Linked DNA regions of Nothobranchius furzeri. The protein of the gene in region 3 purifies or fractionates together with the protein of the main gene of each other region. This does not show direct contact. Links are inferred from orthologs where the notes say so. Each region holds a gene or a part of one and is shown on either strand. Other genes may lie near its edges. The genes, in order: nhp2, nop10 and H/ACA ribonucleoprotein complex non-core subunit NAF1.

Region 1 (4,434 bases), on a different chromosome or scaffold from region 3:
TCCCGGCAACGGACAACAACTTCCGGGGTCAGACGCGCTGCTTCGTGTCTATCGCAGATGTAGAACATCACCGGGAGCGTTTCTCCCTTCATTAAGGAGCTTCTTTCAGACATGAGGAGAGCTGTTTTGGTGGTAACGGTCTCTCCTCCATGCTGGTCTGTTTGCTGCTGGGTGTTTTTGGTTTATTTAAACTTGGTAACTTGAACTTAACGTTGGTAAAGCTACTGTTAGCATCTTCGCTAACAGCTTCTTGCGTTGGGATAAGCTGTTACGTTTTGGTTTAGAGTTCATCTTTTTTTGTGGTGCAGATCTCCCTTTTATTACATTTAGAGTGTTGTGGGTTTTCGGTTTAGTGTAAAATATCACCTGAGTTTGGTTTAACCCGTAAGACCACTCGCCTCACGCACATAAGTGACCAAAACAAAGCAGCATGGAGACACTCCATCTTCTACCACCTCTCAGGCAGCAGCCTGCACTCCCAAGTTCTACACGTCACCAGAACATAACCAACCAACACAATAAAAGCATGGAAGGCCTGTAGTGTTTATTCTCTTACAGTAAGAATTTATCAATTTTTTTGAGGAATTTATTTGAGATTTTCTGGTTTTTGTTAATTGTGCAATAGAAAAATAATCATTAGATTAATTTTCTAAATAGTCATTAGAATAGTCGACTATTCGATAAAATAATCATCAGAATAATCGTTTTAAAAATAATCGTTTACCCCCAGCCCTACTAAACCGGTTGTTTTCTACGCTTTACTAAGCACAGAGCAAGTGCTGTCACTATGAGTTGTTGACTCAGACTTTTCTTTCATTTATATGCTTTAAAAGCCAGTAGTTTAATTTTGTGATTTAATTGAAAGTTTTGTTTGTTCTTATTTGCATAAAAGACATTGTAATTATCGTTACTGTGTTCTTTATGTGACCGTGATTTCAGTCAAACTACAGCTGGTTATGTTTTCTTGGCTTTATTTTAAGCGAAAACAAGTACTGTAACTGAGTTTGTGACTCGGAGTTCTGTTAAAACCAGAGTTGGCTATGTTTTGCAGTTTCTATTATTTTCACTAAAAACCAGCAGTTAATCCTAATGTCATTTGACTTGTTTCAATAAAACTGTTGAAAATGCAGCGGCACTTTGTTTTAATAGGTAAATATGAGATACGGGGAAATGTACGGCCCGCTGGCAAAAGCCTCATGATAATTTGGCCCAACAAAAAATCTAACCGAGTAGCCCTGCGTTAAAAGCTGTACTCTGGCCCCATGCATGCGCGGGTTTCCTCCGGGTACTCCGGTTTCCCCCACAGATCACAACACGCCCTATAGGTTATAAATTGTAAGTCGCTTTGGATAAAAGCGTCTGCCAAATAAATAAACATAAACATACTTGTGACAAACGGGCAACTTTAAGGTCACGTGACCACCACTACTGCTCAGCAAAAACTACGTCCTCGAGACTGTAAACACCCAGACCCTGGAGCAGAACATGATAACAACATATAAATGATGAAAACTCAGCAACAGAGCTGAGGCGGACTTTCGGCATTGCCATGGAAACCTGTAAACACTCCAGCTATCCAGCTTTGATCAAACAGCTGGTGGCATGTTTTAGTTCTGATGTCTTTGTAGTCCTCGTAAATCTTCCTCTATCCAGATGAAGGACGAGGCTCTGTACCTTCTTCCATTCTCATTTATCTAGTATCGATTAACAGGGTCTGCCTGTGGGCCTTGCTTTAAATAGAGATGATTCCACTCGAGCATCGTTGGTGGTACGGAAGCATGGATTCATTATAGCGCTGACGTTCTGAGCTCACTACGTGGAACCCCCTCCCCCCGGTGTAGATGGACCAGATATGCACACGGCCCTGATTTAGATCAAAACCGTTGGATCATATATACACATATATCATATATAATAATAGTACTAGTAATAGTAGTAATAATAATAGTAATAATAACGTTTAACACAATCAGAATCTAAAAACCACGACACCAGCCCTTTACCTCATAGAATGTGTGTTTTACTTGAAGTCAAGGGTTAAAACTGACGTGTGAGAAATCTGAAATCCTGACAACACCTGCTGACCTTTGACCCCAGCTCCACTCACTCACCGTTTTAGAGGGCACGTAGGCGTACGGCAGGCTCCTGTCCTCACACATGATGGGCAGGTGACAGTACACGTCGATGGGCAGCGTGTCGCCCGCCAGGACCACGATGCTGCAGAGACCAGACCGGGTTCAGGTGAGCACAGGTGAGGTTCTAACGCGCGGATGACTACGGTGTCCTGAATGGTTCAATGCGCTAAAACTGAATAATGTTCACATTTAAATACATAAAAAAAAAATTAGTGCGGAACTTCTTCTGAGGGACAGAAAACAGTGACGGACCGGACCACTACAGTAATGGGGACTGAGGTTCTGGACGGACCCGGGCACCGTGAAGCTAACTCACCCTTTCTCTCCTTTCTTGATGAACTTCTGAACTTCTTTCACGCCCCTCCGGATGTTCTTCACCTTAGCAGCTGAAATCAAAACACCGGGTAAAGAAGCGGGACACAAGCACCGGTCTAACGGGTCTCGGTGGTCTTTTACCCTTTTTCACGCACTTGTAGAGCTTCTTGCTGAGCTTCCTGGAGGCCAGCGGCTGAGAGATCGGGTTCAGGTGGGAGACCAGCTCCTGGTAGGTCCTCTCGGAACCACCGGCCGATGCGACCGAATCATTTGGATCCGCGTTTTCCTTCTTCGTCTTCGTCATCTCTGATAATCAATAACCGATTGTTGCTTTCTGCTTTCACCCAGCACGCACGTGTTTTAACTCTTGTCCCGGACTAACAGGACCATTGGACCACAGCGCCCCCGGCGGCCAGGAGCGGAAATGTCGGCAAAGTCTACAGAGGGCCTGTAGACGCGCGCGCGCGTGTGTGTGCGTGTGCGTGTGTGTGTGTGTGTGTGTGTGTGTGTAGAAGAAGAAAGTATCATTTCTATAGCGCCTCTCAGGATGAAAATCACGAGGCGCTTCACAAAAAAAAGTGTAAAACATAAAAAAATAATTTAGAAAATGGTTAAAATATGTTTAAAATGAGCAAAAAATAGACAATTGTGATTAAAAAAATGTAAAGAAAGAGAGAGAGAGTGAATAGATAGGGAAAGATCCTGAGGAAGGTGGAATAGGTGGGGAGAGCAGAATAAAGAGAGTGGTGAAGAAGGTCACACAAAAGCCAGCCTGAACAAGGGCAACACCTCTGAAGATAAGAGTCAAGAGGTGCTTCACAAGAACAAAACTAAAACATGATTAAAAACACATAATAAATTGTGAAAATGGAAAATTTAACATAAAAATGAGAGGGAAGAAAGAAAACGAGTAAGAAGAGGTAGCAGCACCTGAACAGGTGAGCGTTCAGCTGCATTTTAAAGGAGACCACTGGATGTAAAACAGCTGGTGGTCTGTTTTAGTTCTGACATCTTTGTAGTCCTCAGAGACACAAATGTATGATTATTGCTCCGTCTGGGAGAAGAACGATGCTCTGTCCTCTTCTTCCATACTCATTTATCTGCAGTGATGTGACATTCACGAGCAAATCAAATCTTTTGGTTTTCAAAGTGAACAATGAGAGCCGAGTCTCTGTAGAGAGCCGTTCATCTTGTCTTCCAGTACCAAGCCTCCCCGGAGGTCGGCAAAGCGCACCCGCTCAACCCCCACCCAGCCCGTGACGGACGTGGACAGAACGCTACCCATCCCAACCACCGTGCGCCCTCACATAAAAACCTTTTCTTTGATCTCACTTCTGATTTAGTGGAATGTGTGTGAGAAAAATGTTACGAAGCATTTTAAAGATGCAACAAATTCCACACAGCAATAATTATTATCTGTAAAATGTTGCTAGTTAACTCATTAAAGAGCAAGTCACCCCCTACCAGAGGCTTACTCCACTCCCACTTCCTGTTTGAAAAGTGCAACAAATGCTGTTGCCTGGCAGAGTGAGAGGGTGGAGCCACTAACAAACACACAAACACACAGGCTCACAACAGCATTGTGACATCATATAGTACCAGCTTATGTCATAGTGTACCTCAGTGTGTCCCAACCCTGGTCCTCAGGGACAACTGTCCTGGATGTTGTCCATGTCTCTGCTTCAGCACACCTGATTTACATCGGCTCTTCAGAAGGACATCAAGTGCTGCAGATGCCCGTTAATCACTGCTTCATTTAAAGGCCCCTTGTGTGAAATTCACAGAAATCATAGTAAAAAGATCCGACTCTTTAGCACCACGCAGTTTAGAGTCGGTATTGCAGCTATTGGAGCCCCCGAGGATCAAAAAGGTTTTTTTAATCATTATTTAAAACTTTATTAACAAATATAACAAATACAATACAAAATCGTGTTGCTGTAAACGGCAGCATGTCATCATCTAATTCCAGCTTTCAAGTCAGCGA
Region 2 (3,661 bases), on a different chromosome or scaffold from region 3:
TTCCCTCAGACAACATTACTGGGTACGGCAGTTCCCGGTGACATCTGTGCTGCTTTTTCTCTGCACTTTTTCGTCCAAGCAACCCACCAAAAACACTCACGCAAGTGAGCCCGTCAGGTCCTAGTTCCCTTGCCGTTGCAAGTTTGCGCATGCGTCGTTTTACTCAGTGACAATAGTGAGGGGAGATGTGGTCTTTACGTAAACAAGTTGTTTACGTTATTTTATTCCAACAATTTAGCAAGTTTCCTGAGTTTAGCACAAAACCAGTTTGCATCAAGAAGGATGAGTTCATATTGAACATAAAACACGCGGAAATAGATTTTCACATTAAAATGTTCAAACTGATAAATTAGCAAATATTAGCTCATAAAGTTCGAATTAAACAATATTAAGAAAAAGCAACATAGCTGAAATGAGCTAATGTTTTTCCGCTGCACCTCAAAATTACCTCGGACAGGTGATGTTTGTAAATGAGAATATTATCAAACACTATCTGGAAAAAATAAAGGTTGAAAAAAATGATGCAATTTTTCATTAAAAACACAACATTTTAACACTCACTGGGTATTTTGAGTACATGGATCAAAATAACAAGTGTGCTTTGAGGGTGTTAATTATTTTACTGTTCATTTTGTCTTTTCAGTTAGTCCAAGATGTTACTGAAACCAAAACATGACATTCAACAGTCACTGACTGAGTGTTTTGTGAATAGTCAAGATTCATTTAGCACAAACAAAAATACCTCTGGGAAACTGTCTGCAGCTCATAAATTACACACCATGACTGAATAGTAAACACCTTATATTTCAAATTCTAGTTTATATTCACAATAAATGTTATTTCTACTCAAATTTTCTTATATGTCGTCGTCCCCCCCAAAATAAAACTGGCATACAAATAGAGGTTATAGGAGCTAACATAGTATTATTTTACTGCAGACAATGTCAAGTATACCTTACTTGTTTAAATGTATGCAATAAAGGAGAATTAGCCATCAAATCCTGAATTCAAACAGTATTCAAGAAAATTCATCAAACATTTTTAAGCATAAAAAATGACAATAACCTCTACTAAAATCTAAAGACCTCATGTAATCGATCCAAACCAGCAAGTCCAACACACCAAGTGTCCTTTCAAAATCCATGTTGCCATCTTCAGCTCTTCATCCATCCATGCCTCCTCACTCCACTCTTTCCAGCTCCCTCACAGGACTGGCCTGGGCTGCTGGGTGAGCAGAATGCCAAAGCGTTTCTTCAGCTGCACTCGGTGTCTGGAAAACTTGTCATCCGGAGAGAAACGAGCCGGATGGGCAGAGCTGGTGGGCTGCCCATCAGGAGATGCCTTCTGTTGGAGGCAAAGATGAAGGGAAATATGTGTGCATTAGGGAAGAACACTGATTTGAAAAATAAAGGCATATGTCAGCTTTTTTTTTTTACATTTCACCAACGAAATAAGATACGTGGATGAAATTAAGTGTAACACCTAAATTCACCTTTTAGAATATGATGGCTATTATGGTATACAATAAAATAAACCCTCACTAACATATGTTTGATTCATTTTCTTGTAACACTACTCTGATTTACAGTAATAACCTATTCAGTTGCAAGTACAATCAGCTTTTAAAACATGTAAAGAGTTTTTTATTTCATGCGTAAAAACTAAATTTTACGCATTTTTCACTAAACTATGTTACGTTTCGGTTATTGACGTATTAATTTAAACTGTTACGTTTCGGTTATTGACGTATTAAAAGCAAAGGATTTTTATATGGTATAAATCAGAAGCTAAAATCAAATGTGTTTGTCCAAAAACACACAAAGGCGATCTGGGATATAACTATTTGTGTTTATACTGGTTCGCTACAAGCTTTCCACGTTAGCCACTAATTGCAACTGTCCATGTTCGCCGCTATTTTGCTGGCTGCACATGGAAAGCACTTTGAATTGCCTGGTATGAAGTAGCCTTTATAAATAAAGCGGCATTGCCATGCTTTGTTAGCTCAGCTGCTATCCATGTTAGATACTAGTTGCTATCAATGTTAGCTACATGTGAGGCTAACGTGAAAACAACACGAATAACACATCTTGAGATTTTTTTGGTTTGACTTGCTCCTTTATGTTTTAATAGAAGCCACGTGATGTTACTTTTCGTTTTCCAACAAAATAAATTTAAATGTAATGAGCTAAAACGTGAAACTGATAGGAGAGAAGACATGTTACGAACAACACACACAAATTACCTTCAGAGTATATACTCTGTCTCCAGACTCGTTAAGATAAAACTGCAAAAACATGACGAAAAGTCTTGATATGAAGCTTTATAAGTTTTAAAAAATCCAACTTTATTTTAGGAAGCTAGAAAACGTGGATCCACGTGCAACGAACTTTCTAGTCGGATATCCGGTTTAATGATCAGGCCGCTTGGAATCATGGGGAACTGAGTTTACTCGCAAATTAGGCTCTTTTGAATATCACACACTAATAAAAGTGCATTTTCAGAACTTTTATGCTTTATTCTAACCACCTCTCAACGTTTTACAGACCCACCAGCATCTATAACAACTCTTTGAAGAATCTTGAATTATATGAGATGATTATTATTATAACAATATTTATTAGATTGTTATAATTATTGTTTCTGAATATCGATTTACAACATTTAATTTTCTTCCGAGAACAAATAAAGTATTTTGGCCCTTAGCTGAATCAGTAACAGAGTAACTTTTACTGGTCCAATTTCAAAACAAAACACAATGTGTTTTTAACCAAAACAACCAAACACATTCTTGAACATCTGCATGAAAATTCTGCTGTGCTATAAAACAAATAAAATATAAAAACTATTTAAAGAACAAGTCACCCCCAAATAAACTTTTTTTGCTGATAAACTAAATAAACGAGTGTCTAATCGTGCTGCAGACATGTGCCGTCAATAATTTGGCACTTCAGTGCATCTTAGTTAAAATTTAGATATTCTGCCTAAAACTGTCAGTGTTGTGCCGTTGTCAGGTAAAAATTCTGCACTGTATTCTAATTTAAATCTGCCACCGCTATTGGCTAAGAGGTATGCTATGATGTAAACTGGTACGTTATGATGTCACAATGCCTGTGTGTTTGTGTATTTGTTAGCAGCTCCGCCCTCTCGGTCTGCCAGGCAACAGCATTTGTTGCATTTTTCAAACATGAAGTGGGAGTGGAGTTAGAATCTGGTACGGGTTGACTTGCTCTTTAAATCCAGTTCTTCCAGAATTATGAAATCCAAAAGCTCACATTCAAAATTAAACAATAATGATGTTTACTTTCAAACAGACATAAAGTTGGAATCTGTTTTTGCAGCATTCACCATAAACTACTCATGTCAAACGAGAAAGGTAAGTCCATGAAAATTCATTCATTAAATTATTACCGGTACATCTTTTTCCACTGAGAACACTTATTTTTCTTCATTAAGCCTATCTAGTGAAACAAATATGTTCAAATTGCTGTTTTAAATTAATATAAGAACCAATTAAAGAACCAAGTCAGAGGAGATATTTGCAACCTTAGCCGAGTGTGCGGTGTTACAAAGTACTTGTTGCTTCAGTCTTGTTGTCTTTGTTTATTTTTTTCTGGTACTTAAAAGCAGCCTCCTAAGTCTGAGAGAGGGTTGGTTCTGCACA
Region 3 (4,177 bases):
TTGCTGCTGCGTGGCTGCAGCATGACCCAAGTCTGGAACATCAAAATGACAGAATTAAACAAATTTATACGCTTTATTTCATGCTTCAAATTAACATTTCATTCTAATTCATCTGTATTTTCCCACTGCATATTAGTATAAACTGTATTTCTCTAAAATTAACACGATTGTACTCTGAGCACGCTAAAAAAAGAAACCTATGCTATACTCACCCTGCCATGCAGGTACAGTTGGCTGTGAAGACGTAGTTCTCTGGTTTGTTTACTATGACCCAAGCCTCGTACATAGCAGTCTTGTGTCCTTGTCTTTGGCTAGGAAGGACTTCTGCCTTCAAGATGCAAAACTCAGAGTCTATGTCGTGATATTTTACTTTCTGTACGTGGCCACAGACAACATAGTTGTATGCATCTAACGATTTGTATGCCTGTAGCTTCTCACGTGTGTACTTACTGGGCCTCTCCACTAAAAATGTATACATATCGGGCCACTGGATTTCTGGCCACGCACCTACATCTTCCACCCATTCCGTAATGCCACAGGGATCCGGGAGTCTGTTGCCATTCGTTAAAGTGAGTTTAATAATATAACATTCAAGATTTGCCGGTGATTACCCCGCAGCGTAGCTTGATAAAGCCTGAAACAACGCCATTCTCTGTTGCCAAGCTGCGCGCGCATTCGCGCTGATGTCATATTGTTTACAAACAGTAAAAGGGTCTATACATGACAGGATACCCCAGAACAGCGCTACACCCTCTGTTGTCCTGGCGGGGAATTGCTTTGTAACGCTCCCCGGGAGACGGAGAAGTCCGAAGGCAAAATGTCTCCATCAATAGGCATGTTTCCATTACCAGAAGTCCAGGCTAGTTCCTGAGACGGGGAACTTGACCAGGGGACAGGACGTCCCAGTCCTCTCAGCTGTTGTGTCTCTATTCAAATCCAGCCCTTTCAGAAGTCGCACAGACGTCAGCGTATCACTGTTTGGCAGTGAGTGATGTCACTGATCAGCCCCAAAAAGCGCCCAAAGTAACATGAATAATATTGAAAGCATTTATTTTATAGAATACATCATAATTTAATCCATTCAGAGGACGAGAGCAGCTCTGAGTTTTGTGAGACAAGCCCCGTTAACTAAGTCTGTGGGGGAATTCCACCGAGTTCTCCGGTGTCGGGAGTTAGATTTTAAATGCGATCGGTGCTCTTTTTTGCTTCCATTTTGCTTCACCAGCTGCTTTTCTAATTTTACTGCTGCCGGTTGTTTTGGACGTCTGCTGATATCATTTCCAAATGAGTTACAACCAATCAGTGTGAGTTAACCGGAGGTTCCGCTCAGCTACTCCACCGGGCCGTTCGAGGTACCTACTCCAGAGCAGGTACTCAGATGGTTCCTGAAAACGGTCCGAAAAATGGCCGTTCGGACGGCCCGGTCAGGTGGAGCCGCGCGCACGTCGGCAGGTTCCTGTAAATCTACCCTGAAGTTCTTGTAGTGTAAACACATCGATTGTGGGTGCGTCTCTGCCTCGTGGAGCTGAAGCAGAAGCATAAACTGGGCTTAATGAGACTTCAACAATGTGGGACAGAAGACCTCAGCTGGACCAAAACAAACAAACCAACCTCCAGCAAGACCTCATCTCTGGTTCTGAGAGGCACTGGTTGGCTGAAACCTCCATCTTCTTCCACATCAACATCAACCACCAGGGCAGAAAGGGCAGAGGAAGACGAAGATGAAGAGGAGGAGGAACTGTCACCAAACAAAGGAAATAAGGAGCATCAGCACATCTGTTTACTGTTGCGTTATGTAGTACACAGAGGGAATGATGCTAAACGAGTGATGTGTGTGTTTGTGTGCGCGCACCTGTCTGAATCTTCATCACAGTCTCTAGACTCACAAACAGCACCCACTGGCTCCTGGGTTTGGTCACCTCCTGCTTCTTCTTCATGGGTTTGAATGCTGGCTGCTATGGGGTCATCTGGGGTCACAGGACTATTTACCCACGTCTCACACACACTTTCCTGAGTGTGAGCGGAAATTTGTCCAGGTGTCTCACACACACTTTCCTGAGTGTGAGCGAAACTTTGTCCAGGAGTCTCACACACACTTAACTGAGTGTGAGCGGGACCTGGTCCTGCTGTCTCACACACACTTTCCTGAGTGTGAGCGAAACTTTGTCCAGGAGTCTCACACACACTTAACTGAGTGTGAGCGGGACCTGGTCCTGCTGTCTCACACACGCTTTCCACAGGCAGTGCTGCTGATGCAGTGTCCTCTCTGCACATGTGAGTTCCTGCTGCCATTGCAACATGTGGAGACACGATGAGGCTTTCTAACTGTGTTGCCATGGTGATGTCCATCTCCTCCTGCTCTCCCAGTGCTGGTTTCTGCTCATGCTGTTCTGCATGGCTTTGGTCCATCTTAGCTATGTTAAACTGTCACAACCAGATAATTAAGAACACACACAAACAGAATAATAAACAGATATCATTATGCTGCATCATAAAGCGATCACCGTCGGTTCATTAAAAAAAAGTAATTCTGACACTCGGAAGCAACCATGAAAGCTAACCAACAGCGAAATCAACAACATCTAAATAATACTTAAACCTAGACGTCTGAGACTTCTCTAAAAATCTGGCCGAAAAGCCAGCAACCTCACATAAAGGAACACGACAAACACGCTAGCATCCACGTTTAGCTCGAGCGACGAATGGCTAATGCTGAGCGAGCACGAACACGCAGTTAACGTCACCAAAAGCAGTTTAAACGTGTAAGAAAAACTTTAGCATTACCTGTTTGATGAGTGAATTTCCGGAAGAACCCTTGAAAACTCCTACGGCTTCCGTAGAATCACAGGACACTTCCTTAACTTTCTTTCAAAATAAAAGCTTAACGCAAAGCGGACTTCAATTTGTGGACTTAATCTAGACGTAATCAACTGTGAAATCGGTGTCCAAATAAAGTTTTTTGTTCTTTAGTTTAAGCTGTACTAATATCGTCAAATATCACTACAGCCCAGTGTAGCTCAGTTCACAATTTTTATTTTAAAGCATTCTAACACAGTCAAGGTAAAAATATTAGGTTATTTTTATTGACCCAAAACATGCTATAGTATCACATTTTTTTGAAATACAGTTTTTACTATACTACAAAGAGGACAGAGATTTAAAAGAAAAGTTTTTGATCCAAACCTCCCCTTTCAACCGAGTCCAAGCCGAGCCAAGTGTTTGAAATCTTTTATTTTGAAAGCAGGAGAGTCTTCCGCTACATAGGAATTTCTAATGGTGATGAAGTGAACGCAGCACGTGTTACTCCGCACGAGGAGTTCTATTTTTCCGGGTATGCGCAAGAGAGCTGCGCGGTTCATTAAGACGAAGCATGTGCGGGGTTGTGGTCCAGAAAGCGTCCAAGGTTCAAGCGTACGTAGACGCCCCAGAGAGAGTGTAACCTTAAATATGTATATAAATACTCAGAACTATAGAAATAAACAATGCTCTGTCTATAGCTCTGTAAACACTAGATGCCTCGTCCCCGCTGTTCACCAATGGGATGCGACGTAGGAACGTGGCGGCCATCTTACCTCAGTCAGCTGTCCCCTTTCTTGACATTGGGGTGTATGGTGCATGTACTATTTAAACGACTCTAACTTGCTCAATTTTTGAACTGATTTTCAAAACGTTTGATTTGTTATAAACGCCAGAGATGTGTCTATGAAATAGGATGGGGTTGACCCCAAAATGCCTGTTATTTCACTCCACAAAGCATTTAATCTTTCATAGATAACACATTTAATTGTAAGTTACAGTAAATTAAAGTATACATAGCCTATTATATTATATAGATCTATCTATAGCAATATATATATTCCTGGTTTGTGAAATAGGACTTGTTTAGAGATGAGATTTCAAGGTTCTTTTGAGGTAAAGCCCACATTAACAGAACAGATCCAAAATGTGCAGCCCAACAAAAAAGACAACCGACACCCAAATCATCTCTGTCAGCCAGAACCAGCCCGCCAGCAGTAAAATTTAACCCAGCAAATTATTTTGTTTTTTCACTATTTCTTAACTTTTGTTAAGAGAGCTCTTTGGAAATACTTTCTGAAAAAGTTAGGAAATTGTTGGATTGAGTGTCTACAGGTGTAAGTTATAATGAATGAACTCATGTCAGAATAAAAGGACGGGT

What was found.
Region 1: the proteins of H/ACA ribonucleoprotein complex non-core subunit NAF1 (region 3) and nhp2 purify together in Homo sapiens (affinity purification with western blotting; 3 studies listed by BioGRID and IntAct, with this or other methods). This does not show direct contact. The link is inferred for Nothobranchius furzeri from reciprocal best matches to the Homo sapiens genes NAF1 and NHP2.
Region 2: the proteins of H/ACA ribonucleoprotein complex non-core subunit NAF1 (region 3) and nop10 purify together in Homo sapiens (co-immunoprecipitation; 6 studies listed by BioGRID and IntAct, with this or other methods). This does not show direct contact. The link is inferred for Nothobranchius furzeri from reciprocal best matches to the Homo sapiens genes NAF1 and NOP10.

What each region holds. Positions count from the first base shown.
Region 1 is NC_091750.1:25,734,351-25,738,784, reverse strand, and holds the start of nhp2 (H/ACA ribonucleoprotein complex subunit 2-like protein), read right to left. Parts: upstream 2,868-4,434; 5' UTR 2,755-2,867; coding exon 2,592-2,754; intron 2,522-2,591; coding exon 2,452-2,521; intron 2,252-2,451; exon of another isoform or gene 2,218-2,251; coding exon 2,112-2,217; intron 1-2,111. UniProt on the Homo sapiens protein: Required for ribosome biogenesis and telomere maintenance. Part of the H/ACA small nucleolar ribonucleoprotein (H/ACA snoRNP) complex, which catalyzes pseudouridylation of rRNA.
Region 2 is NC_091742.1:80,334,410-80,338,070, reverse strand, and holds nop10 (H/ACA ribonucleoprotein complex subunit 3), read right to left. Parts: upstream 2,425-3,661; 5' UTR 2,297-2,424; coding exon 2,243-2,296; intron 1,345-2,242; coding exon 1,204-1,344; 3' UTR 601-1,203; downstream 1-600. UniProt on the Homo sapiens protein: Required for ribosome biogenesis and telomere maintenance. Part of the H/ACA small nucleolar ribonucleoprotein (H/ACA snoRNP) complex, which catalyzes pseudouridylation of rRNA.
Region 3 is NC_091747.1:73,481,813-73,485,989, reverse strand, and holds the start of H/ACA ribonucleoprotein complex non-core subunit NAF1, read right to left. Parts: upstream 2,854-4,177; 5' UTR 2,785-2,853; intron 2,425-2,784; 5' UTR 2,410-2,424; coding exon 1,853-2,409; intron 1,739-1,852; coding exon 1,612-1,738; intron 1-1,611. UniProt on the Homo sapiens protein: RNA-binding protein required for the maturation of box H/ACA snoRNPs complex and ribosome biogenesis.